Linked DNA regions of Nothobranchius furzeri. The protein of the gene in region 1 interacts with the protein of each later gene in a pairwise test. Links are inferred from orthologs where the notes say so. Each region holds a gene or a part of one and is shown on either strand. Other genes may lie near its edges.

Region 1 (16,787 bases):
AGAACCTGGTCCAAAGTCTCTTTCAGTGCCTTGTCTATCAGAGGATTAACAGGGTCAGCACTACTGGAAAGTCAAACCATGAAAGCTAACACCCGACAGGAAACTGACGGGAGGCTCGGTGAGGAAAGGCATCATTTGAAACATCAAACCAAACATAAAATAAATCAGAACTTTGTTGAATCTGTAACCAATCCAAATCCAATCTGTAGAAAGCTGTGAAGGTACAATTTACACTTTGATATGTGATGTTTCATGCAAAGACGTCAACTTCGTAATCACCACCGTGATGCATCACGACTGAGTCAAAAGGTAGGAATGGTTCGCCAGTATCATGGTGTAGCAGTGGAGATCTGACCAGTGGAACCACAGGCAACAGGGCTGCTGGCCCGCTGCTGAGTCAGCATAAGCCTGCAGCTCTCAACTCTTAAGCTAAAGCAGCAGAAAGCCAGAGGCCAAACTACTGCAAGGCCTGATTCTCACATCATGGTGATGAAGCACTAACAAAACACTTGTTTTTTTTACTTTAACACATTAAGACATGTCATTTGCTCTAGGAACTACTTGACAAAAAAAAAAGATTGCTTTTGTCACGTCTCGCTACCTCATTCAGAAATATCTGACATATTAGCCTGAATGTGATAAAAAGCTTGGTGACAGTGGCCGTGCCATCACCAGCCATCTGATGAACTGCCCTGCCAACTATGTGAACCACCAGCTGGCCGTTCAAATCCAGCCTTCTGGAATAATTACAGTTTTAGATAAAACCATTGTTGCCAGATTGAACCAGCAGTGTTACAGGAACTGAAAATAAACTGCCTCCTCCCTCGTCTGCTTGATTTCACAGAAAATATAGCAAATACTTTCTATTACTTTCTATAACTAATATTGGTTCATATTTGGTTTGCCATTACCCAAAGCTGTAACTTGTCAGTGTTTGACTGTGCAAAGCTAAAGCTTATATTGTTACATATAATTTTTTTTACTCTTTAGGATGAAGAAAAAGGAAATATTTTACTAAATATAAATACAGAAAATAAAACTTCTATTTGCCTAATTGATTCGTGCTGTTTCCTAAAAGGCAGATGCAGTCATAATCTATCAGCAGCCATTTGCCCTGGCACATGTAACAACTGACTGGCCCAGTCTGATGGATGACGGGCACTGAGCCTATGTGAGCAAGATAAGAAAAAATGAAAGCATTCTGCAAATGATGAGTGAGCCACACACTGAATACTGTTTACCTGAAAAACAAGACAATCCGATGAAGCTGATTTCTACATTTTGAAACAGACTTACATGTTGTACCAACCACAGGTTTGTCCTTCCCTTCCAGCAGGTCCCAAAGGTGCACAGATGCTTCTTCATACTGGTCAATCAATCTGCAAGAGCCAAATGAGCAGTCAGAACTCCTTTGCTTAGTATAAAAAAGGCCCATAACATGCTGCATCTCCAGTTAGTCCTGACTAACCTCACGTTCTGATCCCGCTCTGGTCCCACCAACTTGTAGAACTCATCAAAAGCTACGAGGTCTGCATCTGTCAGCAGCGGTGTGCCACCGACTCCCTGCTTCAGGTCCTGCCGTACAGCGTCTTCACCAAGCCGGTCCAGGATAAACTGCAACTCCAGAACAGTCTTAAGCCTCTTCTGCTCTGACTCTTCTCGTTGCAGCTGCTCCCGCCTTGCAAACTTCTTCCCTACTTTCTGCATCTGAACATAATGTATAATTAGTCAAATTGGAAAAGAGTTGGGATGGATGCAGCTCAGAATACAAAAACATCATCCTTACATCCTGCCCCAAAGTAATAAATGTCTTATGAAGCTCTCGGGCAAATTCCAGGTTGTTCATGACTTCCTGGTATTTGGAGAGGGCCTCCTAAAAAGAAAAAGGAGAAATAACAGCTAGTTAACATGTTATAAATCAACATTAGTCTTCAACAAATGATAAACCTTTTGTGTAACCCACCAGCTGGTCCTGGTTCAGACCCTCTCCTTTATTCTTCCTGACTTTATAATCATCCAGTTTGCTCTTTAATAAAACATAAAAACTTAGTGAGTTTTACATTTTCACACTTGTGACTGAAAGCTTGAACCAAAGACTTTAAAACATCCTCACCTTTTTCTTCTCCATGTTGCGGACTTTCTTGTCAATGACACACAGCACTTGCTTGAGGACTTCTGACTGTCCACCAAGTCCAAAACCGCCCATTGACCCGGGAGCGGATCCCACTTCTGGACTGGCAGATTGCACTGTCATATTTGCATTCATCGCTGAGGGCATCTTAAAAAAGAAAGTGAAAATAAGTCATTTGGTATCCATGACAACAGATCTTATTAATATTATAGGCATGGCTTAATATCTAAGAGTACAATATACAGAATTACAAAAGGCCATGATCACATTTTACATTTATGTCAGCCACGGGTTTAAAAACCAACCAGATGCCTCTTAGAACTGTAGTCTCCATAAAAAAATGTGCTACCCGTTTCATTTTCGCCTGAATAGTCATCAATGTAAAAGTCTCTTTAAATTTAGGGGAATGTGTTTTATGTTTTTACTTCAACATCAATCAGTAATAAGGCAAAATTGTTTTAAAAAAATCACAGGTTTAAAGGCAAATTGTTATCAACTGGGCGTTCGAAAAAGTACTTTGGTGGCAAAAGCAGCATTACTCATACAGCTACGAATACTGGTTATTTTACTGTTAATTAAATCTAAATAAACATTAACACTTGAGTGTGTAGTTTCCCAACACAAGCGTGACAATCACCCAATATCCGTAGCTACCGTTTAAAGTTTAATCTCATGTCGTATAGAAATAATAATTTTGATTGGAAGGAGTCATAAAGATGTAACTAACGATAACGCATGATTGTATCCCTCTACGGTGTAGTCAGTTCACGGCATTTTCTTAGTAAACTAGCCATGGCCGCTCCGCCGTTAGCAGAGTTAGCATCGCGGCGCACTGTTAGCTTGTTCGTCTGATAGCAATAACTGAAGCGTGCTGACCACCAACCGGCCCGGAGCCTCGTTTTCTCGACATTCCGACTTCTTATTCACCCACCTTGCTGATATATATCCACTGGGGAACTTGTTAACTTAATTTACAAAAAGAAAGGCCAAGTTGTAATTGTTGTTGTGTTGCTTTATTTTCTCTTTTACTCTAGTGTGGGATCCGCCCGGCCGGCCTCACCGACAACTGAGACAGTTCGAAAGGCTGAGAAACTCTTTATAAAGGCGGAGGTTCGTTGTTAGCTGTTTCAAATGCGCCGGATTAAAAACGTGAAACAGATAATCGTTTAAAAAGATCATTTTACTACTAAGATATTTACATTCAATTAACAGACAAATATAAAACTTATTTACCAAGACAAGTTATTTAATTGGATGTAAACCTTTAACGGCTTACATTTGTGATCAGGCAAACGTGTCTACGACCTCGTCCCAAAAAATCTGCACAAGCATTAGCTTTGATTAGGATGTTTTGTGTACATTATTTTACAGCAGTACTTTCTTCAAACGCTGCATAGGTCATGAAACCATCGCATGAAACAAGTCAGAATGGCAACACAAGACTATTTTTATATAAAATACATTTAATGAGTTTAAATATCTAAGTCTGAGGTGATTGTCAGTAGGATTATTAAAATTTGTGGATTTATTGTAAATTGACTTGTAGTGAAAACACCACCACCACCACCACTACCACCATCACCAACAACAACAACAACATAATACTACTACTACTACTACTACTAATAATAATAATAATAATAATAATAATATGGAGCAATGTTTGGGAAAAACAGAAAAACCACAATGAGACAGCACAATGGATCAAAGAAGAAGCAGGAAGATTGAAGAGACGACCAGTACAGGAGTGGACAAACATCAGCAAGACAGAAGTAATACTGGCACTAAAGAAAGCAAATAATTGGAAGTCACCTGGAGAAGACAAAGTACATAACTTCTGGCTTAAACATCTTGAAGTCATACATGAAGATCTTGCAAGAGAATACACAGAAATTATTAAAACACCAATAAAGAGCCCAACCTGGCTAACACAGGGTCTAACATATCTGCTACCCAAGACCAATGACACAAAAAACCCTAAGAATTACAGACCAATCAAATGCTTACCAACGATGTACAAGATTCTCACAAGTATTATCACAGAGAGAACATACACCTTCCTCGACAACAACAACATGCTACCACCAGAACAAAAAGGCTGTAAGAGAGGTAGTTATGGAAGCAAAGACCAACTCCTGATCAACAAGATGGTACTGGAAGACAGCAAGGGAAAGAAGAAAAACCTGAGTACAGCATGGATAGACTACAGGAAAGCCTTCGACAGAGTACCACACTCATGGATCATCAAAGTAATGGAACTTCATAGAATCTCACCAACTCTCATTACCTTCATGAAGACAAGTATGGAATCATGGAGGACCACTATGATGCTCACTTATGACAAAAGATCCATCAAGACAAGACCAATAAAAGTGAGGTGTGGTATCTTTCAAGGAGACTCACTATTACCTCTCCTTTTCTGTCTATGTCTAGCCCCACTCAGCACCATGCTAAACAACAGTGAACATGGCTATGAGGTTCAAGGCAAGAAGATCAACCACCTTTTTCACATGGATGATCTGAAGACCTATGCCAAAAATGATAACCAACAAGAGGGACTACTGCAAATAGTCAAGCTCTTCAGTGATGACATCTGCATGCAATTTGGACTTGACAAATGTGCAAAGGCTACATTCAAAAAAGGAAAACTCACATCAACATCAAACATACAATTGGACCAAGAGACTGTCATAATGGAGCTCAATCAAGAGGATACATACAAATATCTTGGGGTTAATGAAGGAGATGGAATACAACATGCTACCATGAAAGAAAAAGTAAAAAAATAGTACTACAGAAGAGTTAGACTTGTTATCAAGAGTGAACTCAATGCTGCAAATAAGATCAAAGCCATCAACATTTTAGCTGTTCCAACGGTTACATACAGTTTTAATATCATCAACTGGCAACTTAAAGAAGTAAAGAAACTAGACACCAAGACCAGAAAATTGCTGACTTCTGAAAGAATGCACCACCCAAAAGCGGATGTTGAAAGAATGTATCTACCAAGACAGATTGGAGGCAGAGGACTTGCACAACTTGAGATGGCTTACAAAACAACAACAATGGCATTGAAAACCTACCTTGAAACAACAGACGATGCCCTACTGATCCTCGTTTGTCAACATGAAGCTCGAAAGAAGCTGTACTCTGTTACAAAAGAAGCTATAAGATATGCACAGGAACTAAACATCCCAGAGGTGGCAAGAATAGAGAAAGAAACAGTGACAAGCTTTGCCAAGAGGACCAGAAGGGAGGCAAAGAAATGGGCACAAAAAAGGATGAGAGAAACATGGGAGGAAAAACCAATGCATGGACAATACCCCTTGAGAGTAAAAAAAGCTGATGTAGAACAAGATCATACTCATCAGTGGCTACGCAGTGCAGGACTGAAGGCAGAAACTGAAGGATTGTTGATAGCAGCACAAGACCAGAGCCTGTCAACAAGATCATATCACCACAAGATCATTAAAGATGGAACAGACCCCATGTGTAGAATGTGCAGCCAATATGAAGAAACCATTGACCACATTGTCTCAGGCTGCCCCACTCTAGCCAGAACTGAGTACATCCACAGACACGACAGGGCAGCAAGCTACAGGTGCTGGCCAGTAAATTAGAATATCATCAAAAGGTTGAAAATATTTCAGTAATTCCATTCAAAACGTGAAACTTGTACATTATATTCATGCAATGCACACAGACCAATGTATTTCCAATGTTCATTACATTTAAATTTGATATTCATAAGTGACAACTAATGAAAACTCCAAATTTGGTATCTCAAAAAATTAGAATATTCTGAAAAGGCTGAATATAGAAGACACCTGCTGCCACTCTAATCAGCTGATTTACTCAAAACACCTGCAAAGGCCTTTAAAAGGTCCCTCAGTCTTGTTTTGAAGGCCCCACAATCATGGGGAAGACTTCTGACTTAACAGCTGTCCAAAAGACAATCATTGACACCTTGCACAAGGAGGGCAAGACACAAAAGGTGATTGCTAAAGAAGCTGGCTGTTCGCAGAGCTCTGTGTCCAAGCACATTAACAGACAGGCGAAGGGACGGAAAAAATGTGGTAGAAAAAAGTGTACAAGCTCTAGGGATAACCGCACCCTGCAGAGAATTGTGACGACAAACCCATTCAAAAATGTGGGGGAGATCCACAAAGAGTGGACTGCAGCTGGAGTCAGCGCTTCAAGAACCACCACGAGGAGACTCATGAAAGACATGGGATTCAGGTGTCGCATTCCGTGTGTCAAGCCACTCTTGAACAAGAAACAGCGCAAGAAGCGTCTCGCCTGGGCCAAGGACAAAAAGGACTGGACTGATGCTGAGTGGTCCAAAGTTATGTTTTCTGATGAAAGCAAGTTCTGCATTTCCTTTGGAAATCAAGGACCCAGAGTCTGGAGGAAGAGCGGAGAAGCACAGAATCCACGTTGCATGACGTCCAGTGTAAAGTTTCCACCGTCAGTGATGGTGTGGGGTGCCATGTCATCTGCCGGTGTTGGCCCACTCTGTTTCCTGAGTTCCAGGGTCAATGCAGCCGTCTACCAGGAGGTTTTAGAGCACTTCATGCTTCCTGCTGCTGACCAACTTTATGGGGATGCAGACTTCACCTTTCAACAGGACTTGGCACCTGCACACAGTGCCAAAACCACCAGCACCTGGTTCAAGGACCATGGTATCCCTGTCCTTGATTGGCCAGCAAACTCGCCTGACCTTAACCCCATAGAAAATCTATGGGGTATTGTGAAGCGGAGGATGCAATACGCTAGACCCAACAATGCAGAGGAGCTGAAGACGACTATCAGAGCAACCTGGGCTCTCATAACACCTGAGCAGTGCCACAGACTGATCGAGTCCATGCCACGCCGCATTACTGCAGTTATTGAGGCAAAAGGAGCCCCGACTAAGTATTGAGTGCTATACATGCACATTCTTTTCATGTTCATTCTTTTCAGTTGGCCAACATTAGAGAAACAAACATTTTTTCATTGGCCTTTAGAATATTCTAATTTTCTGAGATACCAGATTTGATGTTTTCATTGGTTGTCACCTATAAATATCAAAATTAAACGTAATAAACATCGGAAATACATTGGTCTGTGTGCATTGCATGAATATAATGTACAAGTTTCACGTTTTGAATGGAATTACTGAAATATTTTCAACCTTTTGATGATATTCTAATTTACTGGCCAGCACCTGTATATCCACTGGAAGATTTGCAAACATTTCCATCTACCAGCTGCAGATAAGTGGTATGAACACCAACCACCAACAGTGACTGAAAACAACAACATCGCAGTGTTGTGGGACATGCCAATCAACACAGACAGAGAAATCATGGCCAACAGACCAGACATAGTCATCAAAAACAAAGAAGAGAAGACCTGCCTCATGATTGATATGACCATCCCATCTGAAAAAAATGTCACCACCAAGGAGCTTGAAAAGCTATCAAAGTACAAGGACCTGGAAATAGAAGTCACAAGAATGTGGGGGATGAAGACAACAACAATACCCGTCGTAGTGGGTGCACTTGGCCTCATCAAGAAGGGACTGGAAAAGAGAACAAAACAGATTCCTGGAAACCCAACAGTCCAAGAAATCCAGAAGATTGTTCTTCTCGGAAGTGCCCACATCATCAGAAGGACGCTTTCCATAAACTAACCCTGAAACTGCCTTAGAAGCATGGATTGATTCTGGCACTTCAGTGAAAGCATACAAATATACAAAAAAATATATATAATAATAATAATAATAATAATAATAATAATAATAATAATAATAATAATAATAATAATAATAATAATATTCATTCAGATATAATTACGTTATTTCTGCAAATACATTTTTTTCATTTCCACACTGTTAAAAAACTCAACGCGCTACTAAATCAATCTTCAGGAGCTCAGGGCTGCAAAGTGAACCTGTCATTATACTAGTAAAAAAAGTGCTGAGTAAAACTAAATGTAAACTTTATAGATGTATTTGAAATATTCGTGGTTAAGTGTGAAAACATTGATATGATGCTGAAACATTCATTTAAGCTGTATTAAATTGTTTTAGGAATTTAAGGGTTTTTAAAACCCTTTAAATGCTAATTTATTTATCCCTACCCACACAGTTAGTTAAATAGACACAAGGTAAAAAGTGTAACATGTGTAGTATTGGGGTAATTTGAGAAGTTTGTATGTCCAGGATTCATAAGTTTCCAGTTTGTAACAGGATCAGATGGGTTTTACTTTTTACTGCCACATGTGCGAGAATCACAACATTAGGAAATTGCTGCGGTACTTGGTGCAAGAAAAAAATAAATGAAAAACAAAATTAGAATTAAGAAATAAACGCAATGAAATGATAATAAGGTAGGAAATCAATAATTAGAAAAGCAGCTACTTTACAAGTCAGTGTAGATACTGGTCAGAGCAGGTCAGTTCAGGTGCAAACCTGGTGCAAACACTGACTGGTCATGTGACTGAAACAAAGCTGCTGGAGTGGGCAGGTCTACGATTGTCATTCATGAGTCCCGGAAGGGAAGAAACAGATTTGCGGCGAGAGGTTCTGGTCCGAATGGATTGTAACCTCCTACCAGATGGGAGCAAGTCGAAGAGACCACCTCAATGTCCTGGAGGTGTACAAGTGCTGCATGGAGAGGAGTTTTCGTTTGCAGCCACTGACCTTCTCAGCAGAGCGCAAAACATGCTGCAGCCTTTTCATGTCACTGATGGTGGCTCCTAGCCTAGTGAACTAGACCAAATTCTTGCTTTGCAAAGTTTGTTTAAATAATACATTTATTTAGTCTGGCTTGCCAGGCTAGGTGGCTTCATCAGTGACATGAAAAGTGACATATATATATATATATATATATATATATATATATATATATATATATATATATATATAATGGTTTGCTACTTAATCCAGTAGGTGGCAGTAAAGACTCACAATAACATAAACAGAAAGAGACCATGACCTGCAGTGCAAACATCATAGATCATAGTGCCAATTAATAATAAAATTCATGTTATAAATAAATAAAAATAAATACATGTTATAATAATAATTATAATTATAATTATTATAATAATAATTATTATTATAAAGCCATTGATACTGAATGTTGTGTATTATTAATTTGCAAACATCCCAGGAATATCAGGAAGGTTTGAGTCAATCTTACTTAGTTCAAATTTTATTTTAACAACAGTGTAGGTCTGGCTGCTCATTTGAAAGCGTGTGCAATCTGCTCTCCTTTGTTTTGCTAAACGCAGGAAGCCACTTACATGGTCATGCAGCTATTTGATTGCACTATCCCACTGCAAGTGTTTTCTTTTAACCCTCTCAGGCTCAAAATAAGTTTTGATAAAAGGATGAACAACTAAGTCCTTCAGGGGTACTTCTGAGTTACAAAATGCTCATGAAATACGTATGTGGAGTAACCAGGTAGGTAGGTTTTAACGTTGCAAATCTGCAACGCCTGCCTCCAGTGGGTTAAGGATAATACTGATTATGGGAGGATCCCAAGGCCAAGAGAAGCTCTGCTTTAGCGAGCGACTCATTTCCTGCAGGCTGCTGCATTTCACTCCAGCAACAATTGAGCAGATTCCAGGCTGGGTCCTCGTCTGACCTCTGACCTTCACTACCAGCCTTTTGAGGTTCAGACTAAGATTAAACACAGGCTTTTGGGGAACAAGTGAACATTTTTCAAACTTTTGGCATTCAGGATTGCGTGTGACACAGCAACACTTTTAGATGGACAGGAAGTGGTTGGGGATAATGATTCAGAGAAACAGAAAGTCAACATGAAGCTAAATTATTGCAAGTTAGCCTCTAAAAAGTTAATAACATGTCTCCAATCCTTAAATCATTTTAGAAGATTCTTTTTAACTGGGCTTTGATTATTATTACATTTAAAATTCATAAAGCCGATAACCTTAATAATTGAGTTATTCTGTTTGCTCAGCGATGGCGATTATAGCTTCCCTCAGATTTCACATTGCTCTTGACCCCGTAATGCTGTCAGTACGAAACAAAACAGGAAGCTAGACAAGAGTGGCACTTTTTCCTATAGAGCTGGTCACATTTTTAACTATTTGCTTTCCCACCAGAACTCAAGCCCTTATTCATGGAGTGTGAAAAGCCTTTCATCAAGGTGTAAAAGTTAACATATTGTAAGGTTCACATCCTTTCTGGTGGTGTTTAAGCTTTTACACACAGAACAGAATCTCATCAATAAAATACATCAAGCTGAAGTTTTGCACTCATGCTATATGAGCGATGTCGTGCCTATCTCACAGCAGCATCTGGACTCAGCCCGTCTATCTGTGATGTACCATCATGCATGATGGGGTTAGGAAGTGTGCAACCCTACACCCCTTAAAATAATAAAAACATAATTTCTGCATGTCAGCTGCACATCCTCTCAGCTTTTAGAAGTCATCTCCACAGGAAGCTGATCACTTGTGTCATGTTAACTGTCTCTTCTTCCTCCTTTCTGCTGTCAGCTTATTTTAGTTATTCCCTGCAGCATATGGGTTAAGATGTGACAGTTTTCTGTTTTAGGGCTCTGCTTTGCAAAGACAGCAGATAAAACTGTATTGTTTTTTCCTCTAAGGGATTTGCAGTTTGAGTTTTATCCCTGCAAAGCTGTTCTGGTTTCTGTGTATAGCTGGCACGCTGCAGAGCCAGCCTCCTCACCTTGCTCCTGGGCCTTTTCAGCTCGGTGTGTGTCCAGTGAGTCCAACAGCTCAGGGAAGCATTTAACCTACATCTACACTGTAAAAAAAGACAGCCTCAAAAAGTTATTTCAATTACTTTTTCCTATTTCACCTAAGTCTCCCTGTTAAGTTTTAATTGTTAAACTCAATTTTGTGTGTTTTAATATTGAAAACTTAAAATTGCTTGTTGTTCAACAAATGCTTATATTTTCCTCATTCTCATGCGTTCAGTCAACTTAAAACTGCAATTTAGAGATTTAAAAAGAGCAACGTGTTCCTGTGGTGTCCGTGAGGGCGCACGGGGTTGGTTAGGGTCCCTCCTACGTCCGTCACTGCGGTGGGTGGGGTTTGAACGGGTGCGCTTTACCGACTTCCGGGGAGGTTTGTTACCAGAAGGCAAGACGAACGGTTCTCTACAGGGACTTGGCTCTCATCGTTCACTTTGAAAACCCGTTCAAAACATTCAATTAGTTTGTGAACGTCACATAACTACTGCTTCACCGATTGCCTGTATTGGCATGACAGCTGCCGTTTTGATAACACAAGTTCAAACAATTAATCCATTTGTTCAGTTAATAAAAACTTTTAATTTAAATGGACAACCATACATGTCTAACTCAAGTTTATAAGTTAACATAATGTAGAATTGTGTGTATGTTTAACAAGACAAAATGATTTTTCCACTTTGTAATCTAATAAGATTTGTTGTTTCGACTCATAATATAATATTCAAACAAAGTTATTATTTATGATATTTGTAAAACTTGACATATAGAGTTGAAAGTTTTCATTTAAGTTGACATGACTCAAGTTTTTAAGGCAGCTGTTGAACTTTCGTTTTTAAGTTATTCTGTCCTACAATTTATTACAGTGTACAGTTTGCTTCTGATCTTCATGCACTGTTTCTGACTGCTGGAACTAAAGCGCTTTATCTGTCCTCACAGTCCAACTGATGTGTGTGTCCCTCCCTCTTTTACCCTGCAGCTCTGGCACTAGATAAGACATGTCCACTGGCGCTTTGGTTTGAAAAGGAAAGTGTGCCAAAAACGACAAGAAATACATTTTATTATAGGGGTAAAAGATTAGTATATATATTTTTTTAATAAATCATATTTTTCATTCTAGAACGTTCTATAGTCATTCTAGACTCGTTAAGCTTTGCTGGCAAATTTCTGAAGAGAAAAATGTAAAAATCAGAACTTTAAATTTCACACATTATCTTTGAAGGGTAATGTTCCTCTTCACAGCGTCTGCGTAAATGTACGAGGTGTGCACATTATTTAAATTTGAACATTACATTTCCTTATTTAAAGCAGAAATTCAGCACATCTGTTTAATGTTGAGGAATGTGGCACAAAAATGCAGCACAAGCTCAATTTGAGATGATTCTAAATTTTCTTTATTCATTTATTTGCAAAACAGCAGGCCACATATTCTAGAACAAAACATAAGAATATATTTTTATTTGCCTTTGACATGAACAGTTTAGATGTTTTACTTGCATTAATTACAGACAAAGCAAAGGAAGACATGATGGGCAGATAAAACTACCAGCAGGTGTTTTTATCAGCTCAGCTCCTGCAGCAGATGGACTCATTAGTCAGTCACGACCATCACGACCCTCTGCACGACTCACAGACCAGCAGCTCTGCTGTCGCTTTAAGACCCGTTTCCCCTCATTGTGAAGCGCTGAAACAGGAAGAGAGAAGCGAAAGCAAAGCCCGAAGGGCCCCAATGTATTTAAACGCGCTGCTGCTGCAGCTGCTGGCCACTCGGACACGCACTACTTCCTCCCCGCAGAACCCTCCTTATCGAACCGCACTGGCGCGGTTCTTCTAGTCGCTGTGGGACCTGCAAGGCATGGAAGTGTTGCTGCCTCAGGAAATGATGACAGCGTCCTCCTCCATCGGCGTCTAGCTGATTAGAGAGGGAGCTGTTCTTGTTCTGCATCTGTTGGAAACAAGGGAGCTGCTTCTTGAGTTCGCTTTTTATTTCCAGCGATCTGAAAGTGGTTTTTACCAGGGGTGCAGGTGCAGCGCGCCTTCCAGTATCCAGATCAGGCTCGAGAATGACTTCTACCATAGAGAGGAAAACACTGGAAGCAAACGAGTAAGTCAACTAAAATAAACACATTCTATCAGAAAACTATCCCACGTGCAAGACGATGAGATCAGATGTTTCTGCTTATAATATTCATAAAGAAAATTTAAGGAAAAATTAAAGAAACGGATGTAAGGTAAAACTAAACTAAACTACATGTTTAGAGTCAGATGTTGCAGCCATAATGGGAACAGGAGTTGTAACATAAGTGTATTAAGGCACACTGTAAAGGCGTTGGACCAAGGTTGAAACTCGCTTTACACTGGGAATGCTGGCCAGAGCATTACTTAAAGCCCCTCAGAATATAAAGAAGATGAGTCATAATTGTAGTTGTGCGCCTGGCTTCTTTATTATAGCCCATAGGTTAGGACAAGTAAATCAGGATAGCAGTTGATAGACATGATAGCTCATGGGTGTGGTTTTCCTGCAGAATGACAAATATGACGTATGTATAACTTAACCTTATTAAACAATTAACACACATCAGAATATTAACCTTCCGCCACCACATCATCAGTTAATAACCATACTAAACAGTCAGAGGTCACTAAATCATCATCATCTGCTCACATAAAGCCACTATATTAAGGTTTGTCAAGTTAACCTTGACGTCGTCGGTCAACTTCCGGTCTGTAAACAAAAGAGTGCTTTTATTTTCCCGACTGGGTACTTCCGGTGGCGGGTTAGCTTAGCTCAGATACTCTGAACCAACTCCCATTCCCGCACTGTAACAACACCGCTGTACTTCTCTACATTCCCGTATACTCATACAAAGCACATTCATGCCTCCTCGTACGACACCAGCAGACCAGCGCCGATCGGTCCCGAGGGAAGGTATATCAACAGCGTTTTCACAGGGACAGGAAATGCATAATAATTAACTCGATAGCCATAATCAGTCCAACATTGCACTTACTGTTCATCCACGCACACACTCGACCATGTCCCGGTGCTATCCCCCAGGCAGCAACATATCGCAGAGAGGAACCCGGGACACAAACTAGAGCTACGTAAACCTCGAGAGATATGAACCTAAAGCCATTTTATCTCTATCTCTAGCTGGACTTCTGGAGCAGACTTCCGGCCAACTACAAAATAAGCGTAACAAAGGGAATGTTTTCCCAAAATGCAAGACTTTGAGGGCTTTTCTACAATAAGCCAAGATCAAAAATCCATTCATTTTTGTCTGCTTATCTTGGGTCAGGTCATGGGGGGTAGCAGCCCAACTAGAAAGTCCCAGACTTCCCTTTCTCCTGCCATTTGGGCCAGCTCTTCATGAGGAAGCCCAAGGTGTTTCCTGGCCAGACGAGAAACATAGTCCCTCCAGCGTGTCTTGGGTCTTCCTGTCTTGTAGTTGGATTTACCCAGAAAGCCTCACCAGGGAGGTGTCCAGGAGGCATCCTAACTAGATGCCTGAGCCACATCAACTGGATCCTCTTGATGTAGAGAAGCAGCGGATCTACTCCAAGCCCCTCCTGGATGACCGAGCTGCTCACCCCATCTCTAAAGACACCCTGCAGAGAAAACTAAATTCGGCTGCATGTATTCACAATCTCATACCCAGAGCTAGTGACCATAGGTGAGGGTTGGAACATAGATTGACCGGTAAATTGAGACGCTCAGCTTCCGGCTCAGCTCTCTCTTCACCACAACAGACCAGTACAACGCCCACGTCACAGCAGACGCAGCACCAGTCCACCTATTGATCTTGTCCTCCATCTTTCCCTCACTCATGAACAAGACCCTGAGACATGTAAACTCCTCCACTTTAAGCAGGACCTTGTCCCTGACCTGGAGAAGGCATTTACCTTTTTCCGGCTGAAGATCAACTGTTAAAAGATAGAAAAGAAATATTAAATATTACTTGCATATTTTAAAATAAATGTTTCAAAAGTTCTGGAAAAACATCTTCGTTGTTTGATCCGATCAAGTGTTTCAAGAATCCTTTTCACATTTTTAGTAGTAGCAACATATTATTTTTCATTTTTTTAAAGAAAATTCCTAAACAATATTCCTGATAGGTGTGTATGAGTCATATCTTACATCCTTTACTAACTCAGGACCAGTGGTGCTGCAAGATTGTCATGGGGTTCCAAGCAAACACTGCAGACTGGAAAGTGTGCTGCAGTTTATTTGAGCGTGGGAGTGGGGGGTGCACAGACAGAAATGTGTGGCAGAGCAGTGAGGGGGAGGAGGAGTGCCCTGTTGGGTAGTGTGAGACAGCCCAAGTTATGTCAAATTACAGCTTTTCACAGTCCCATAGAGCTCCGGGAGTTGACGTCACATCTCCCGGCATGCAACAGTTCAAATCGAAACGGCGCCATATTGGCATGCAGAAGCCGGCAGCTGGACTATTTGTTATTGTCAGAAAATTCAATCAAACGGGAAATATGGTAGATTCCTGTTGTGCCCCAGGATGCAGAACAGACGCGGACGACATAAGGAATGAGTCATCTACAGGATTCCCCAAGTTCCGGAGCGCCGCAAACGTTGGATCATTGTAATAAAACACGTTAGTGACCGGGATAAAATGAAGCTGTGGGATCCCGAGAGTAAAGGTTTTCGCTTATGCAGCGACCGCTTCATATCAGGTACTTAAACAACGTGTCCTCAACTGTGTATGGTATTTATTTTAAATGCTTTTATTACGATTCTTAGTGGGCTTCCTAAACTTATTTTGGCGTGGCTTTTTCTGTCTTATTACTCATAGCAACAAGTGAACATCACGTAAAACGTTGCCTCGTGAGTTCTGCGTGCTGCCGTTTACGTGTTTTATGATCACAGCAGTTAACCGGCTAAGCTGTATTTAATTTTTAAGCAGTGGTTGATCAATTGTCAGATCACACATAAAAAGCACTTTGGATTGCTATTATCTGTCTCACCGAGACTACTTGCGTGTGAATCTGTTATTTGTCCGTCCATCCATCCATTTTCATCCGCGTATCCGGAGTCGGGTTGCGGGGGCAGTAGCGTGACTTCCCTCTCCCCAGCTGCCGGAGCCAGCTCCTCCGGGTAAATCCCAAGGGGTTCCCCGGTCAGGTCTGGTGTTGTGCCGGTAACAAGCCTGCTCCGACAGCTTCTGGCGTCGGAGCGGGCAGTAGAGTTGAGAGTCCCAGACCTCTCCCCAGCTCCTCCGGCCGGGTAAATCCCAAGGGGTTCCCTGGTCAGGTCCGGTGTTGTGCCGATAAGAAGTCCGCTCCGACAGCTTCTGGCATTTTTAAAAAGTATCCCAGGGGCACGGTAAGGGTCGGAGATGTTTAGTCTATTTAATTTCTGACTATATAAAACGATTTCTTCTGTTTTTAAGTGTGACGTAAACTCAGACGAAGTAAAATCCAAGCGGATCCCGTTCATGTTCATGGTTACATCCGTGTTTGTTTACCTTTTTTGCATGCCAAAATGGCGTCCACTAACTGAGAGTCACGTGGGGTCCGGAGCTCTATTGCTGTTGTAGTTCAGACTTCAGTGTTTTTCAGCCCTCTTGGGCCCCCTTGTGGCCTGGGGGCTCCAAGCAATTGCCTGCCCTTCCTGTCGACAAGCAGCGCCTCTACTCAGGACAGTTGCTGCTGTCGCAGGCAGATATTAAATGTTTGGGTTGTGTTTTTGTTGTACAGGGAGCCTGTTGACGAGGTCCTCCAGATGCCACCAGCCCTGCTGACCTGTGGTGGGTGTCAGCAGAGCATTGGTGACAGATTCTTCCTAAAGGCAATCGAGCAGTACTGGCATGAGGACTGCCTGAGCTGTGATCTGTGTGGCTGCCGGCTGGGTGAGGTGGGCCGTCGGCTCTACTACAAACTGGGTAGAAAGCTGTGTCGACGGGATTATCTCAGGT
Region 2 (16,142 bases), on another chromosome or scaffold:
TGTGACACCCCTGCATTAACCCTTTGATGCATGAATTATGAAATCTTCAACCATGATTTTTTAAACAATTTTTTTCACTCGTCTTTAGGCGTGAATGAAACAAATTTCAACAAATATTTTTTGTAAAATTTTATAATTTACAAATATTTTATTACATGTCGATCTCAGTGGACAACGTGCATTCTGAGCATGAAATATGTTGGCTTGGCTTACTGAAGTCCAAATGGAGGGGCTCAAATGCAATAAAGTCTTCAACAGCTGTGCTTAATAGCTAAAACAAATAAATAACAATTTTGAGTACCTGTCCACTGTAGTGACCTTTATGCATCAAAGGGTTAAGCTCACTCACCTCCTTCACAAACACTCAAAACTAACTTTTACACTCATCTCCTCCACATAACTGACTCCTCAGACACTATTTATTTGTATTATTATTATTATTGTTATTCTTATTATTATCATTATTATTATCATTATTACTAGTAGTAGTAGTAAAGTGTAACTTCAAAACTTTTATCATTTAACTTTATTGTAAACTTATCTATTGCAATGTATATGTTCACATTATATAATTGTTCTATTCTTGTTAAGTGTCTTAGAACTTAAAGCTCTGAAAAATGATCAGTATCATCATCGTCAACAGAGATTTTTTTAAAGCTTAATGTCAACAATATACACTTTTTCATTAGATTTATCTTATTTTTTCCATTTCTTTTTGTTGTGTTGAAATGTAACAACTGTTTAAACACTTTTAAGGGAAAAAACATATTTAATATGTTTTTATACACTCATATTGGTAATGAATAACTTACACATTATATTAATAATAATTGTGAATCAGACTTGAACCGTCCTGTAAATATTTCTGTTTGTTCCATTCCAAAATTTCCCTCTGTTTATAGTTCATGCATCCTTTTTTCAGGTGACAGACATGGAGGAGGAGGAGGGACTGGTGGAGGTGCAGCAGGAGAGGCTGTAAGAGATGGAGGACGAGAGCCTGGAGGAGATGGAGGCTCACAGGTGAGGTTGAAATAATGAAGATACGATAGACATAACATTGATCTTTGTGACAAATGTTAGGGTGATGATCATGTGTAAAACATTGGTTCAGCATGTGGTATTGAGTTCAAAGCTGTCAAAGTTCATTCGCTTGCATGTACAGGGGACAGAAGCTAATTGGGCAGGTGGAGATGTTGGTGGCAGAGAGGCAGAAGACTCACAGGTGAAGCACTGGCTTGAAACATTGTGATAAAAGCTAATTTAGCTAATTATTTAGCACATTCTTATATTAAGGCTGGTGTACTAAATCTGTGCTGATCAGATGCAGCTGGAGCGCCTTCTGGCGAGGCAGATGGAGATCTTGCAGGACGCCGCTGTCCAGGAGCGACTGCAGGCTCTGGACTGGAGGATCCCCCCCGCTGCCTTAAAGTACCTCAGCGAGGCCCAGAACACCAATGGAGTCACAGCTGACACCAGCAGAGATGGCCATGGTAAACTGATCTTTGACATAAACTGTTCATGATACATAAAAACATGGTTTCTTTAGGCGGAAATTAACAAAAAATAAAAGCTGTTTTCAGCCAATTTATGATTTGTTTCTCAGTTATTTATAAAGAAGGGGCAGGTCTAAATACTCATCCTGCTACCAGCCACTAGGGGGCGTTAAATGCCTTTGTAGTTGTGTTTGTCGCTCTGCTGTTGCCGGTTTCCAATTAGAAGAAACCTTAGAGGGAACTAGCTATCCTGGACCTGAACTTTATTAAACCTGGTGCTTCCCTGAGTTTAACTTACTGATTTCATGTCCTGAGAGCAACAAGAAGTGGTTGAGTGGATTTAAACACTTAAAGGTGTGGTTCACTTGTTTAACCAATACATTTACAGTGGTCTCTAGTAGGAGTTAATCCTGTGTAAGTTGTACTCTGGTTACTAAAAGCCCTGGTGCACCTGTTTGGAATTGGAATCGTTCAAAATCAAACGATGCCCAACCCTAGTCGCCCCGCTCCCACGAACACCCCCCCCCCCCCCTGTTTACGGCAGAGTCGGGCTGCCGTGAGCAGAGGAAAGGGGACGAGACATTTTCTTCTACAGTGCATGCGGGATGCTGATTAATACAACAAATCTACCTCAGACATTAAATCTTCATATTGCATCAGACTGCTGGCCTGAAAGCAGAGCAGACAACACACAGATTCACAGCTGAAGGACGGGGGAGTGGCAATGTCAGCGGCAAGGAACAGGTCACATGTTTAAATTCATCTTCAGAGTTAAAACTATGGAGAGAAAAAAGTCTCAAAAGATTTATGTGTGCGTAACTAAAGATGTGTGTGTATCTAGATTTATGTGTGTGTAACTAAAGATTTGTGTGTGTGTTTGTGTAGAAAGATGTATGCATGTGTAAGTCTTGATTTTTAACTTGTGTTTACATTTTCTTGTGTAACATCAGCTCCTACGCATACAAATCATTGAATACACACACACACACACACACACACACACACACACACACACACACACACACACACACACACACACACACACACACACACACACACACACACACACACACACACACACACACACAAACATCACCTGGTACACACAGACAAAACTACATTACACACAGATTTTGAACGCTTGGTGGAAGCTGAGAAATTAGAATTTCCTTTGGATTTAGTCTAAACTTGTGTTGACGGGACAAATTTGTTTTTCTGTGGAAAAATAGAGTATCTCAGGATCCTGTAGTCATAACAGATAGACCAGCATTTAATATTTAATAATCTAAAAATGTTTATTTAGACATATATGTGTTTATGAGCCATGCAAATGCAGTCAAAGTGTTGTATAAGAAATGGTCACTAGATAAAAAGCAGGTTTCAAACTGGAAGAAGGCATGAAAAGATGGCGCAGTATCCTGGTGACCTTTCCTCAATAAGAATTAAACCTGCCCACTTTGCAGTCTGGTTATAACGAGACCGCTGTTATCTTAGACCGTTTATTTGGTTTTAAAGGTCTGACAGATTGATACACTGTCCCCAGACTAGGAAGCGGCTAACAGGCCAGTTTATGTGTGCGCACAACATCATGTAAACTGCTGCCCCACCGTTATTGCACACACACAAACTGGCCAGAGATGCACTTCCTTGTCTGGTGCATCCATCTACACACACCCTGAGGACCCTCCGTTGACTTCCATTCATTTTTGTGATTTCACCATGCCTAGTCCACACCCCAACCCTAACCATAACCAACGCAGATCTATTCTTAACCTTAACTAAAACTTAATTCACACTATACCTCTAATTGGTACAGTAAGCTTCTGGTATGCTTCTAAAAAAGTGGACCAAAAAAATGTCCTCACTTTGTAGGGAAAATGGTCAAAATGGTCCTCAGTATGTAGTATGTACAATAACACACACACACACACACACACACACAAACACACACACACACACACACACACACACACACACACACACACACACACACACACACACACACAGTTACGTGCTCTGCCCCTTTTCGGCCACAAGATGGCCTCGGTGGCTTCTGCCTCGCCTGTCTCAGCTGTGTGTAATTGGGCAATCATGGGCAGCTGTTAAAGGCTGCCCTCCTGCCCACAGTTCTTAGAGAAGGTCCAGGGTAGTGAAGGCTCGGAAGAGTTTTTGCTGCTCTCTTCTCCTCGCGTGTGTTGGTTAGTCTCGGCTTTAGGTATTCGCTTTGGTATTAGGATTAGATTTTGACTCTCTGGTATCCCCGATCTAGGAACGGCTATTTGACCTTGTTTGTGGACTTTTCCCAGCGTTCCTGCTTAACAGGACATCCCTCCGTTAGCTTGGAGTTTACAGCGATTGTATTTTGGTTAATTAATTCCCCCTCGTGCTCTTAGTTCCCCGTTTGCGTGTATTTCCTTTAGTTTTGTATGTAATAAGACAGTCACTTTGTTTTGCTTTTCTTTCTGTAATTAAAATCCTTGGTTCAGCGACACAGCACTCCGTTATTATTCAACCCACACACCAACTTTATTTCTCCCTCAACAACATCTCTCCTAGCGGGCTGGGGGACGTAACAGCGTGGGGGCTCGTCCGGGAAGGGTCTCGCTGCTTCTGCCATGTTCCTCTTCCAAACACCTGCCGGCTCTCCCTCGCGCTGATCTTACTTGCTCCAGTCTGCGCGCAACGGCGGGCAGGGTTTGGAAGAGTTGTGCGACACAACGAATCGATGACACAATTCGTACACACACACACACACACACACACACAGATCTTTAGAGACTTTTCTCCCCATATAAAACTTGTTACATCAGGAGATCTTTGTTTTTTTTTTTTTTTTAATCTGTTTAATCCGAGAGCTGGAGCAGGAACTCACCACGGCATCCAGGTCTCGAGGACCAACGAGGTGCTCTATTGCCTTGAAGTCATCAGGAGACATGGGCATCATGTTGTCCTGCAGCCTGGAAGGGTGTCTGGACCAGAGCAGAACCAGTCAGAACCTCGGGTTATTCCAACATTAAACAGGTCTGTTTAGTGAAGGCTTACACTTCTGAGACGGATATGAGCTCCGTTTTCATGTAGCCGCTTTTATCCGTGTTCTCCACGTCCATGGGCTCCTGAGCTGGAAGGCGATGAAACTGTGATCAGGATGTGTTTTATTCTGGAGCTGAATGAAACTCAGCAGCAGCTGTGAGGCTTACTCTCTGACGGTTTGGGGTAGTATTTCCCAAAAGCCTTGTCTTTGGGAATGTTGGGGTAGAGGAAGCGCAGAGGGTTTTCTGGGATGTTCTCGGCTGCCATCACCTTGTAGGTGCGGATGATGTCCGGCAAAGACACGGCTGTCAACTCCTTCTTTGTGTACGGCTCTACAGAGTGGTAAACCGGCTTGTCTGGGGGGAGGAGAAACAGGAAGTAGATTGTTTTAGGAACAGGAAGTTTGAGCTCATCGGAGGTGACAGGTATTGTGGCCCCCATAGGAGATGTTACCGTGGACGTCATGCTCGATCCAGGTGAAGGTGATCGCTCCCTCCTTGCTGCTCTCACTGAACCTGAGCAGGAAAGTCCCAGGACACTTATCGCTCAGCAGAGCCTTCTCCCTCTCTTTACTGATGAAGCCCATGATGCAGCTGCACACAACAAACACACCCATCAGTTGGATTCCGTCCTCGAGGAAGCGCTGCGTCATCACGGCAACTCACCCGTCGTTCCACAGGGACAGCAGGTGGCGTTTGATCAGGTCCAGGATTCCTTCGATCCACAGCCAGAAGGGAAACGTCTTCTCGTTGGCTCCTTGCTGCCGAGCAAACGACAAGAACTTCAGGTTCTGCTCCAGCAGCACAGGATGACAGCAGGTGCTGCAGGGCGACTCGGGCTCACCTTACAGAATTTTGTCCAGGGGATGAGTCCTTCTGGATTCCTCTGAGCTTTGGCTCCTGAACAGAAACACGAAAACGTTCAGATATAAAGACTCAAACCCAGGGTAAAAGAAGAGAGCAGAACCAGATCAGACAGGCTGATCCAGGATCTGTTTGTGTGTCTGACCGAGGAGTTTGTCAGCCAGCATGTTGAGCTGCTCCTGGTTCAGTCCTCGCTTGGTGACGGACGAGAACTGCCAGCTTAGAACCTCGGACAGCTGAGACCACTTCGCCGCTGGAGGGTTGAGGAAGAACTTCAGGTTCTGGAGGACAGATGGTTCTGTTAACAGCAGAGCGACACAGGGCTGACGGTGGTAGAAGAACCGGGTCTCACTTTGGGTTCTGTGGTGAGCATGTTGTACCAGAGGATGGAGGCCCAGCCGCTGGGTAGCTGGCACACATTGGAGATGACCACGACGGGCAGAGACACGGCCTGACACACAAACACACACCTCAACACACACGCTCGCTGGAGTTTGGTCTGCAGAAGTTGTGTTCGTGTCTCGTCTCACCTCCAGCAGGATGGTGAGTCCAGAATGGTGCAAATGCAGGTCGGACTCAAAGCTGAGCGAGTGGAGTTCCTCTGTGACGATCAGAGGCGCCTGAACAGAAACACACAAAGGTCCAGACAGGGACGAGGGAGGGATTAATCTCAAACCCGAAGAACTAAATCTGCTTCACTTCAGCAGCTGGACGACGACGAGACGTAGACGTTTGTTGGAGAAATGTTTTGACTCTCCAGATCAAATCAGTTTGTGATGCAAAAATAAAAATAAAAGTTTTTATTTTGTACATCTGTGTTGTCATTAAAGCTGACATTTACATACATATATAATAAACATGAAATCAAAGATACTTTATTAATCCCAGAGGGAAATTAAGAGTTTCAGTACACACAACTCAGAGATCAGACATACATGGGCATAGACACATGACAAGAATTGGTGACTGTGGTCATTTGCAACCTGAGTCGTGCTACCTTAATAGAGAAAAGAGGGTTACATCAGGATTGGTTCAGGTGGAGGGAAAGACAGAGTTGAGTTGCCAGAGCGACGGCACATTCCACATATCTTCTGAGGGGGGAGTTTTCATTGGAGCCTTGCTGACTCAAGGACGCCAGATTCCTATTAGAAATTGTTTTGGGGCCAGACAGAGATAATTTCCTCTCTGTCTTACAGTTTGTTGGTCCTCAACCTCTCAAAATCCCAATAATGGGCATTAATCTATCCCAATCCGTGCTGATTCGTCCACTCTATCCTTGACAGCATCCATCTTTGTGCCAATGAATGAATCTCGGCCAAAGTCCCAAGCTTACGATTCATCTAGACAATTATGTGAGTCTGTGAATTCACAGCGTGGTGCAATCCATCTCTGAGCCCCGGGATCAAGCCAATATTCCTCTACAGCTCATTAATTTTCCGGTAAGCCAGGTAGCCTCCAATGCTGATCAGCAGGAACCCCGACACCAACACCACGAATATCCACACATCTTCAGAGTCCTCCACAGACAGCTGGTCTGTCATGGAGGGGCATCTGGGAGCCCCTTCTCCCGTTCTCATCGTTGAAAAGATTTTATCAATCGCGTTGAGTGACCAACTGACGAGATCCATTTGAGTGAATTTCAGTTTCCAGTTTCCAGAGAAAATGCAGATCAGCCGTACACCCAGCACGCAGAGACAGACAAAGGGCCTTGAGGATAAGTTATGGAGGAGAGGAGGAGAAAAGCATCTGCACCCTCCAAGAGCCGGAAGAATTTGTGACATGTAAGCTGTTCCTGTAATAAATGACCTCTGGAACTGAAATAAAGAGGAGTTTGAAGCCTCATACCTCGTTTGTCCTGTTGCCGGCGGTTTTCTGCTCTTTCAGTTGCTGAATGGAGACAAAAACAGGTCAAATAAGCAACTCTACATCTTTAGTCTCACCCAAAAGGCTGAGAGGCAAAACATAACAAACAAGGAATTTTCAGCTCATCGGGACTATCCCAATCCCATCACAGACGTAGTCTCTTCCACCTGAAACCTTTGGCTCATAAAACCAGACGTCTACATCAGGGTTGTCACAATCCTCAAGTGCTCCTCAATCAAAAATTGAAAATGCACCAGAACACTGAACAGAAGCAGTGGCGCGCCCAGAACATTTCCATAGGGGGGGCCAGTAAATGTTTTGGGGTGCCTCATCAATTCACTTTGAGAGCGTTTAGCCTGTAGCGATGCATTTCAGGCTACTTTATGTATTTTTCATTAAAATACAAAATACATCAAACACACTTACCATCAAATTCGATATTTGAGAAAAGGACACATTTTCCAAGTTATTTTAAATATTGTTTCAAAATGTATTGTTTATCACCTGCTGCCGCCTTAAAAATATTTACATTTTTTTTCAAAATGGTAAATCTAAATCGGACTTGTAATTGCAGCAAACAGCAGAGTTTAGTCTTGCGTCTACAAGCTGCTAATTAGGAATTTGTCTACCTGGCATGTACACAGCACGCTGGGTTTCACAGCCCCGGGTCTGACTCATGAAGAGTAATCCAAAGTATAACAGAAGTAGCTCGGCAAGCCATCCTATATAAGTGAGCATATAGTATGGCCATAACCTATAGACAGAGCTCAGTCGTGGGGCGTGGATATACAGTTCGGGTGTCTTTCAAACTACCTCTGCATGCTATTGGACAACAAACACAGTGATATACTCACCGCTACAGATGCCAAAGCCGTTTCAAATAAGCTGCCGCTATCTCAGTAGTTTCGCTCCATCGCATTATCTCCCCCACTAAACCTATAGAGCGCTGTGATTGGCCCACTAAACCTATACAGCGCTGACAGGCCCACCAAACACTCTATCTCGGGGGATTGAACTATTCTGCCACCTGCTGGCATAATTTGGTAATTATTGTTAGTTTTAAGACATAAGAAGACGAAGAAGAAGAAGAAGAAGAAGAAATCTTTTCTATAGTGCCTCTTAAAGGGACTTTATGGACTTTTGAATTTTTATGCTCGCGACTGCCCCCTCAGGCCAAAAGCGTAACGGCAGCTTCAATAGTAGGCTCGTGCATGAGGCGTGCATGCTGTACGTGCACACTCCTTAACGAAAATAACAGCTGAGACAGTCCCGTGTGTGTGTGTGTGTGTGTGTGTGTGTGTGTGGCCCGGAGGACAGAGGCAGCTAATTAATTAAATAATTTGGTTCTGTACCTTTCTCTTCAGCACAGCCGACAAAGGGTTATGATGGGTCAGTCCTCCTGCATGCTCAGATCATTCCCTTCCCTTGCTTGAAAAATTGTTCCAAAATGAAAGTTGAACCCACATCTTTTTTTATCTGTGAGTTCAATGCCGTTCGGCGAATCTCAAATAAAAATTTGGGCATCTTACTGTAAAAAAAATATACCATTAATGTAAAAAAGAAATTCTAAATATACTATAATCACATACAGAATTGAACCCGGGTCTTCTGCACGAGAGTCTGACGTCTTACTAGGTGAGCTACACTCTAGTAACATTCACTCTATCTGTAACATTTATATCCTTGATGACAGCTGAGGGTTCGGAGCGAAAATGGCTATTTTGTTGCTAATTTGCAGGAAATATCTAGAAGAAAGTTCTACAGGAAGTAGCTAAGGGTCCTCAGAAATGTAGCTAGCTTTGTCACTAGGTGTTAGGAACAGCGACAAAGTCTACTACCTCTCTCTCCGCTGCTAAAGCTACGGATAGCAAATGCTACAGGCGATGCCTGAGCGTGAACGCGCATGAAGCAGCCTGCTCGACCCGAGCATCTCTCTTTTTCTGTGGTTTTACAGAAAAACAGGCAATCACAGTAAAAATGCCAGGCCTCATTCTACAGGACCAGGGCATTGCAGGAGAATGTATGATGAAGACATTTATTATTTCTATACATGTTTTGGCTGTCAAACTTCCTTATAGTCCCTTTAAGATAAAAATCACGAGGTGCTTCACATAAACTAAAAATTTAAAATATAAAAAATAATTTAGAAAATGACTAAAACTATGTTTACAATGAGCAAAAATAGACAATTGTGATAAAAAGTGTAAAGAAAGAGAGGGAGTGAATAGGAGAGAGGGAAAGAGGGAAATCAGGGGATCATGAGGAAGGTGGAATAAGTAGGGAGAGCAGAATAAGGACTGTAAGTAAATATTTAAGAATTTATGCATTCTAAAACAGTTTTGTTATTTTAAATCCATATTTGTTTTCATATTTAGTGTTTTTACTAGTTTTTATATTTAAACTGTGACTTTAATAAATTAAAAGTGATATTAACAGAGCCTGACAGGTTTAGAAATGACACCAGGTGACATTTCTGAGATGTTATCAGATTTATTTATTGCAACACTGCATAATTTTTGTTTGTTTTAGGAGGAAAACGATGATTTTAAACCGAGTTTTACGATAAACTCACTAGATGTCGGAACTCTGCAGCCAGGCTGCCGTTGGACTCCTCTGTGTTCATCACTTTAGTGTTTGTGCCCAAAATGTTGAACCTCCGAAACCTGGTTTTAGACACATAATCACTCAGGGATACATTTAACTTCTCAAGAATAAAAAAAAAAAAAACTTAGTTGGATAGATTTCTTATAAACAAGTCAAAACGTTAGACACTTACCCTTTTTTGTCTGCGACATCCCTAAGGGGAAGAAAACATCCATATTTAGAAATGTATGGGTCTGAAAATGTGGAACGTGTGGAAACAGGAGATGATCTTACTTATCAAAAAGAGCTTTGACTTTGAGTTGGTAGTTAAACTCTTGAAGCTTCACCAGAAACCTGAAGGGGGAAAAACAGGAAACTAATCTCAGAAATGCACGTTTATTAAGGTCAAACCTTTCTGCTTTTGAAACTAACGGGAAAAGAGCAGCTCAGTCAGCGTTCGCTCTCTGCAGCAACTCCAGTTAGCTTTAAGACATGAGTTCTGATGGGCACGTGTTAAAGAGGCCCTTCTCTGGCTTGACTCGTGTAAATATTTGTTTCTCAGCTGAAATTCTGTATGATTCTGTTTTCATGGTTTGGTTTAGTTTCCTACCGGAGTTTCACGGTGAACTGGACGCCTGTTTTCAGCACCATGGGTCTCTGTGGGTGGGTGGGCATGCAGGGCTGTCTCTCTATGACCAGTGAGCTACACACACACACACACACACTCATCAATATTGAATACAGACAACAGCGAGATTGCTAACCGATTTATTTGAGGTTTCCTACCTGGAGAGGAGGGTCTTGAGGAGCTCCAGAGCTCGGCTCTCCAGAAACACTTTCTTCTGAGGGATGGGGTCGTTCTCATACGTGAAATTTTGCTCCAACTCATGCATCTTCTTCAGGTGTTGACGCACCTGCTGGAGACTCTCAGCGACTGCTGTGAACCTGCAGCAGGGTGTTTGAGAGTTGAAGCTCCTCCAAGCCTGATCACTTCCTGCTCTCCAGCATGTTTAACATCTCATCAGTTTCAATGTGAATAAAACTGATCAGATTAATGAGGAGCAATGACTGTTACGACCCAGCTCATAAGGCCGCAACATAAAACAAAAACTGAACACATTCGAGAGCTTTGAGTATTTTTTTTTTTTTTATTAAATGTAGCCTATAACCCTCCCTCTGTCTTTATGGGTGACCCCGCGAGGAAAGTTGGCCAATGAGCAGGATTGATGGTTTATCCCTTGAGGTCCACGTGGCAGGGGTGAGGAGTGAGCACCACCTCACCCCTGCCACGTGGACCTCAAGCATCAAACAGTCATCAAACAGGACAGAGAGGAAGAAAGTCGTAGGCCAGCTATTAACAACTGGTTCACACCATAGGTTCACACACACACACACACACACAAACAGCAAGGGGGAGGGGGGTGTAGAGGAAAAGAGAAAAGGCGGAGAGGAAATGGAGGACACCAAGTGATTAAAAGAAAAACTACGAGGCGCGCCTCGACCGGAGCGGAGAAACAAGCGTCTGGTCGGAACTGAGGAGCAGCGACCGAATTACGTGAGCACTTCGCCTCCCGGCGCTTCGGCGGCCGGTGTGTCCCCGGCGTAACTTAGGCTGGACCTTCTACTGTGGCTCTGAGTAACTTTAGTTACAGTTACTTTAAACAATCAACTGATTTTATAAATATAGACAGGCCCACTGTAACATAATGAAGGTTTAAGCAGCTTTTTAAAGTTTTCACTGAATATTTGTGCTGACTTTCCACAACAGAATGACAGTAAAAGTACCAGTAACGTCTTTAGACGTATTTATGTTTATTTTCCACTAATAACATCTCACTGAGAACAGATCCATACTGTTTTGCAAGTTTTTCTTCTTCTTGATTTCAAATCTCTTATAAAACATGTAGGGAAGACGTGCCTATAGGGTTTAGCCTGCATGCACCTGAAACAACAACCGCAGCAGCTTGTCTGCCAGAATCTTCTTTAGGTAAGGATGAACCTGTCTAATTACTGGGAAAGCTGTTTTTGACCAACACTTGATTGAACTCAACTTCCCGCCCCCTCCAAAAAAAAAGAACACAAGCCTCGGGAGACATCAGTTAAGGCTGAAACTGAAAGGAGACAAACCTGCTAATGTTCTGGACAGAAAACTGACGTATCTGGAGGGGATTTTGATGATTTTACGAACTTTTAAGTTCCAACCGCTGCCAGATGTTGAGGCGACAGTAGTGGCGGCGCCGTGATATCGGCTACCGCAGCGTTTTTCCCCTAGCTGTCTCTGTGACTGTGATTGGTCAAATGGCAACTCGTGACCCACTAACAAAGATGGTTTGTGAAGAGGATGAACACTCCTCATTTTTCTGAAACTGATTCTTATAAAGAGCGACTAAAATCCGACCAGACTCGCCTTCCCTAAAACAAAAACTCTTTGATTCATGTGAACGCATTTTTTTTCATAAGCGGCAATTTTCGCTGAAAAGCGTCAAGTTTGCAAGTATGAGACGAACGTATTTTAAAATCACGTCATACGACCCAAATTTAAGACTTTACTAAATCGATTTAAGACTTTTAAGACTTTTTAAGACCCTGAATCAGGACCACACCAAGCCCCTCTGGTCTGGTCTGGTCACCTTCATTTAAACCCTTCATCTTAATTGACTTGGATTGATATTACCACTAATTTTAGGGATTTGGGGGAAAATTCAGGTTCCATTAGATCCAAAAACTACCATAATCTCCAACCTTGTGTATTATTCTGATACTTCTAGATCCAGATGTCTGTCAGATGTGAACTCCAGCTTGATGCCTTCTCCTGATGTCTCAGATTTCTTGGTAACTCAACAGAAGAAAATAAAGTTTATCTGAAGCTTCTGGGACAACAACGGTCTCACCAGTTCTGCAGCTGGTCCACGCAAGCATTGGGCGGACCGCCAATGCACGCTATCTGCTGCCGCTGCTTCCACTCTGGCAGCTCCTCGGAGATCAGGTCGGTTATCAACCCCTGGATGACATTCAGCAGTTCATTCAGGTACACCACAGCATCCTGGGACACGTGCAAGAAGGCACGGAGTTTTAGAAGGTTTGGACTCAGCTTTCTACTATCATAAAACTGTGGATTAAGAATCTCACGTGGCGTTTGGCTTTCAGTTCAAGGCACATCTTCATGATGACTAACTTCTCTGCCTCCAGCTCCTTTGGCGTCATGCCGTTCACGTCGTTCTCTGCAGGTGATGGACATAACCAGACATCAGCTTCACTCAAACATCAGAACAAGCCACTTCAGTCTAAGTTTCCTTGTTCTTCTGGGTCATCTGCACTTTCCTACCTCTGTTCTTCAGCGTGTTGAATTGGAAATCGTATTCATCCTGCTGGTCCTCCAGATTCTTCAGGTTCTGGTCGATAATCTGAACAAAGGAAACTCTCCTTTAGCTGTGGTAAAGGAACAGCAGAGATTATTTAAATGTGGCTGAAACGTGTTTGTTTCACCTGAACAATGTTTCTCATCTCCTTCACTTTGTTGTCCAGCTTCTGCTTCTCCACCACCATGGCTGAAACCGTCCCCTCCTTCTCCTGCTGCAGAAGCATTGTCAAATTCATGATTAAAGCATCTTTAAATAAAATCTAGATGGATTAAAGCAGAGTCTAGCTGCAGGTCTTACCACAGAATCCTTTGCATTGGCCAAGATCTTCTGCTCCTCTTTCAAGTTTCTGGAGATGATCATGGCCATATGGAGGGCGTCCTCCTGAAACCGATCCTGGAGAAACAAGTGCTCCATGTTTACGCAGTCACTTTCTTAGTTTTAACTCACTCTGACACGAGTAGAGAACGTGGGGCTCTGACCTGCAGGTTCCTCTTGATCTTACGGAAGTTGTGCTGCTGCAGGAAGTTGTTCTCCAGAGCAAAGCGGCTGTGCTGATCATCCAGCTGAGCCAGGAGCTCGTGAAACCGAACAGTTGCCAGGGAGTCCTGTGATGCCACCGTATCCCTAAGAAGATCCAAAACAACAACGGAGTTATCTTACAGAGGTCCCACCACGGTTACGCCAGATGTTGAAGGGCACCGTTCATAAAAGCTTTATTTATAAAACATTTTAAACACCTACAGCACCAAAGTGATGTGTAGAAAAATAATAAAACAGGCTACGTAATAAAAATAGTTACAGCAAAAAGACCTACAAGTAAGGAAAAATAATTATGCAATCAGTCAAGATAAAAATGAAAAGTTTAATAAAAAAAAAAAGAAAAACAATTTAAAGCTAATGCCTTTTGTAGGGTTAGGGTTAAACAAGATGGGGTTGAGGACTGCCTGATGTCCAAGGGAAGGTGGTTCCATAATTCAGGAGCAGTTAAAGCAAAGACATGGTCTCCACTGAACTTACAGTTTCTCCTGCATAGGCGCAGGAGTGGAGCTGCACCACGGCTGAAATTCTAGCACCACATCTACGAGACACCCCCCACAGGAGACGCAGCATTGTAGCATTTTGCGAGCAGAACCCAGGCGACATGACTGGCAACAATTCTAGGGGAAACACTGACTTACGCTTTAGGGCTGCAACAAACGATTATTTGGATAATCGATGAATCGGATGGGGTCTCGACACGATTAATCGGATTACATAGGGACAATTTTAAAAACTGCTAGGGAAACGTTATTTCTCTCCTTCCTTCACTTTATTAAACACAACATTATTAGAAAACAGTTCAATAGCAGAAAAACAACATGCCATCACCTAAATTGTCTTACAAGGTGTATAGGCAGAGACCCTAAGCTACACCTATCTGTGACCTAAAATGCTTGGTCCAAGTTAAACAGCTTAAAGAGCAAGTCAACCCCTACCAGAGTCTAACTCCACTCCCACTTCATGTTTGAAAAATGCAACAAATGCTGTTGCCTGGCAGACCGAGAGGGCGGAGCCGCTAACAAATACACACACACTCAGGCTCACGACAGCATTGTGACATCATAATGTACCAGTTTACATCATAGCATACTTCTTAGCCAATAGCGGTGGCAGATTTAAATTAAAATACAGTGCAGAGTTTTTACCTGACAACGGCACAACACTGCCAGTTTTAGGCAGAATATTTAAATTTGAACTAAGATGCACTGAAGTAGAGCTGCTCGATTATGGCAAAAATAATAATCACGATTATTGTGACTGAAATTGAGATCTCGATTATTTAAGACGATTTTTCTATTTATGTTGATTTTATTTGTTTTTATTCAGTCATAAAATTGCTCAGGGCACAATCAGGACAAAATAAAGTTAAAGTTAAAGTCCCATTAGTTGTCACACACACTGATGTGTGTGCGAAATTTGTTCTCCGCATTTGACCCATCCCCTGGGGGAGCGGTGAGCTGCAGACACAGCCGCGCTCGGGAACAATTTGGTGGTTTAACCCTCCAATCCAACCCTTAATGCTGAGTGTCAAGCAGGGAGGCATTGGGTCCCATTTTTTCAAAGTCTTTGGTATGACCCGACCAGGAATCGAACCCTGATCTCCCAGTCTCAGGGCGGACACTCTACCACTAGACCACTGAGCTGGTGTGTGATAAGAAACAAGATGATCACTAAAATAACTCCTGATTCCCAGTATAAAAAGACCAATATACTTACAGCTCATAGTTTATGACACAAGGGCTATAGACCTTGGTTTAACTCATATAAGTCTAACCAGTACAGACCCAAATACCAATATCTTGCAAATACTGACAGCAAGAATTATACAGTGGCATTTATAACAAATAAATGCAAATAAATTGATGTTCACAAAATGTTGTATAACATTTATTGAGTCGTGTCAAGGTGCTGTAGGAGCGTGCACTAGCACTGTCTCCTCAGAGAGATTAGTTATTGTTTATCAGCGTGAGGAACTTATTTCTACCTTATTTATAAACTAGTTATTTACAAGTCCATCAGTTAATGTAATAATTGTCCCAACCACAGCTGCACCCCCCACCTCCCAACCCGGTCTCACAGCAATCAGGGGCAAGCTGCACGTGTGTTTAGCGCGCCGCACGCGCACATTTAGCCGTTTTTAGCGGCTCAGAAGTTACAGTGTGTGTGTCACTCACTCTGGTTAATCCAACAGAGCCAACTCTGAGAGCCGTTTCTGTAGCGACCGACACATCACTACATCATTCCCTTTCCTAATGTTGTGAAGAACGGTCCGGAGCTCAGGCAGAGTGTTTAGCTAACCTGCAGGAAACATCAACGACAGTTATCCTGAAAGTAGCTAAAGGTTACCAGAGATGTTTCTGAGATGTTCGCTAGGTACTTTTAAGATTTAAAAAGTCAAGAAGGGGGTC

What was found.
Region 2: the proteins of lmo2 (region 1) and stat1a interact in a two-hybrid assay, tested with the Homo sapiens proteins (2 studies listed by BioGRID and IntAct). The two-hybrid records come from large-scale screens. The link is inferred for Nothobranchius furzeri from reciprocal best matches to the Homo sapiens genes LMO2 and STAT1.

Annotation. Positions count from the first base shown.
Region 1 is NC_091744.1:61,971,658-61,988,444, forward strand, and holds the start of lmo2 (rhombotin-2), read left to right. Parts: upstream 1-12,777; 5' UTR 12,778-12,923; coding exon 12,924-12,964; intron 12,965-16,569; coding exon 16,570-16,785; intron 16,786-16,787. Other genes in the region: caprin1b (caprin-1b), read right to left, coding at 1-34, 1,297-1,379, 1,469-1,707, 1,787-1,873, 1,964-2,026, 2,114-2,278. UniProt on the Homo sapiens protein: Acts with TAL1/SCL to regulate red blood cell development. Also acts with LDB1 to maintain erythroid precursors in an immature state.
Region 2 is NC_091743.1:83,716,072-83,732,213, reverse strand, and holds the end of stat1a (signal transducer and activator of transcription 1a), read right to left. Parts: intron 13,819-16,142; coding exon 13,674-13,818; intron 13,588-13,673; coding exon 13,492-13,587; intron 13,406-13,491; coding exon 13,319-13,405; intron 13,237-13,318; coding exon 13,158-13,236; intron 13,054-13,157; coding exon 12,962-13,053; intron 12,876-12,961; coding exon 12,724-12,875; intron 10,778-12,723; coding exon 10,619-10,777; intron 10,536-10,618; coding exon 10,443-10,535; intron 10,187-10,442; coding exon 10,127-10,186; intron 10,047-10,126; coding exon 10,026-10,046; intron 9,913-10,025; coding exon 9,822-9,912; intron 7,274-9,821; coding exon 7,232-7,273; intron 6,007-7,231; coding exon 5,917-6,006; intron 5,838-5,916; coding exon 5,739-5,837; intron 5,668-5,738; coding exon 5,532-5,667; intron 5,423-5,531; coding exon 5,367-5,422; intron 5,284-5,366; coding exon 5,189-5,283; intron 5,117-5,188; coding exon 4,977-5,116; intron 4,880-4,976; coding exon 4,691-4,879; intron 4,612-4,690; coding exon 4,536-4,611; and 6 more. UniProt on the Homo sapiens protein: Signal transducer and transcription activator that mediates cellular responses to interferons (IFNs), cytokine KITLG/SCF and other cytokines and other growth factors.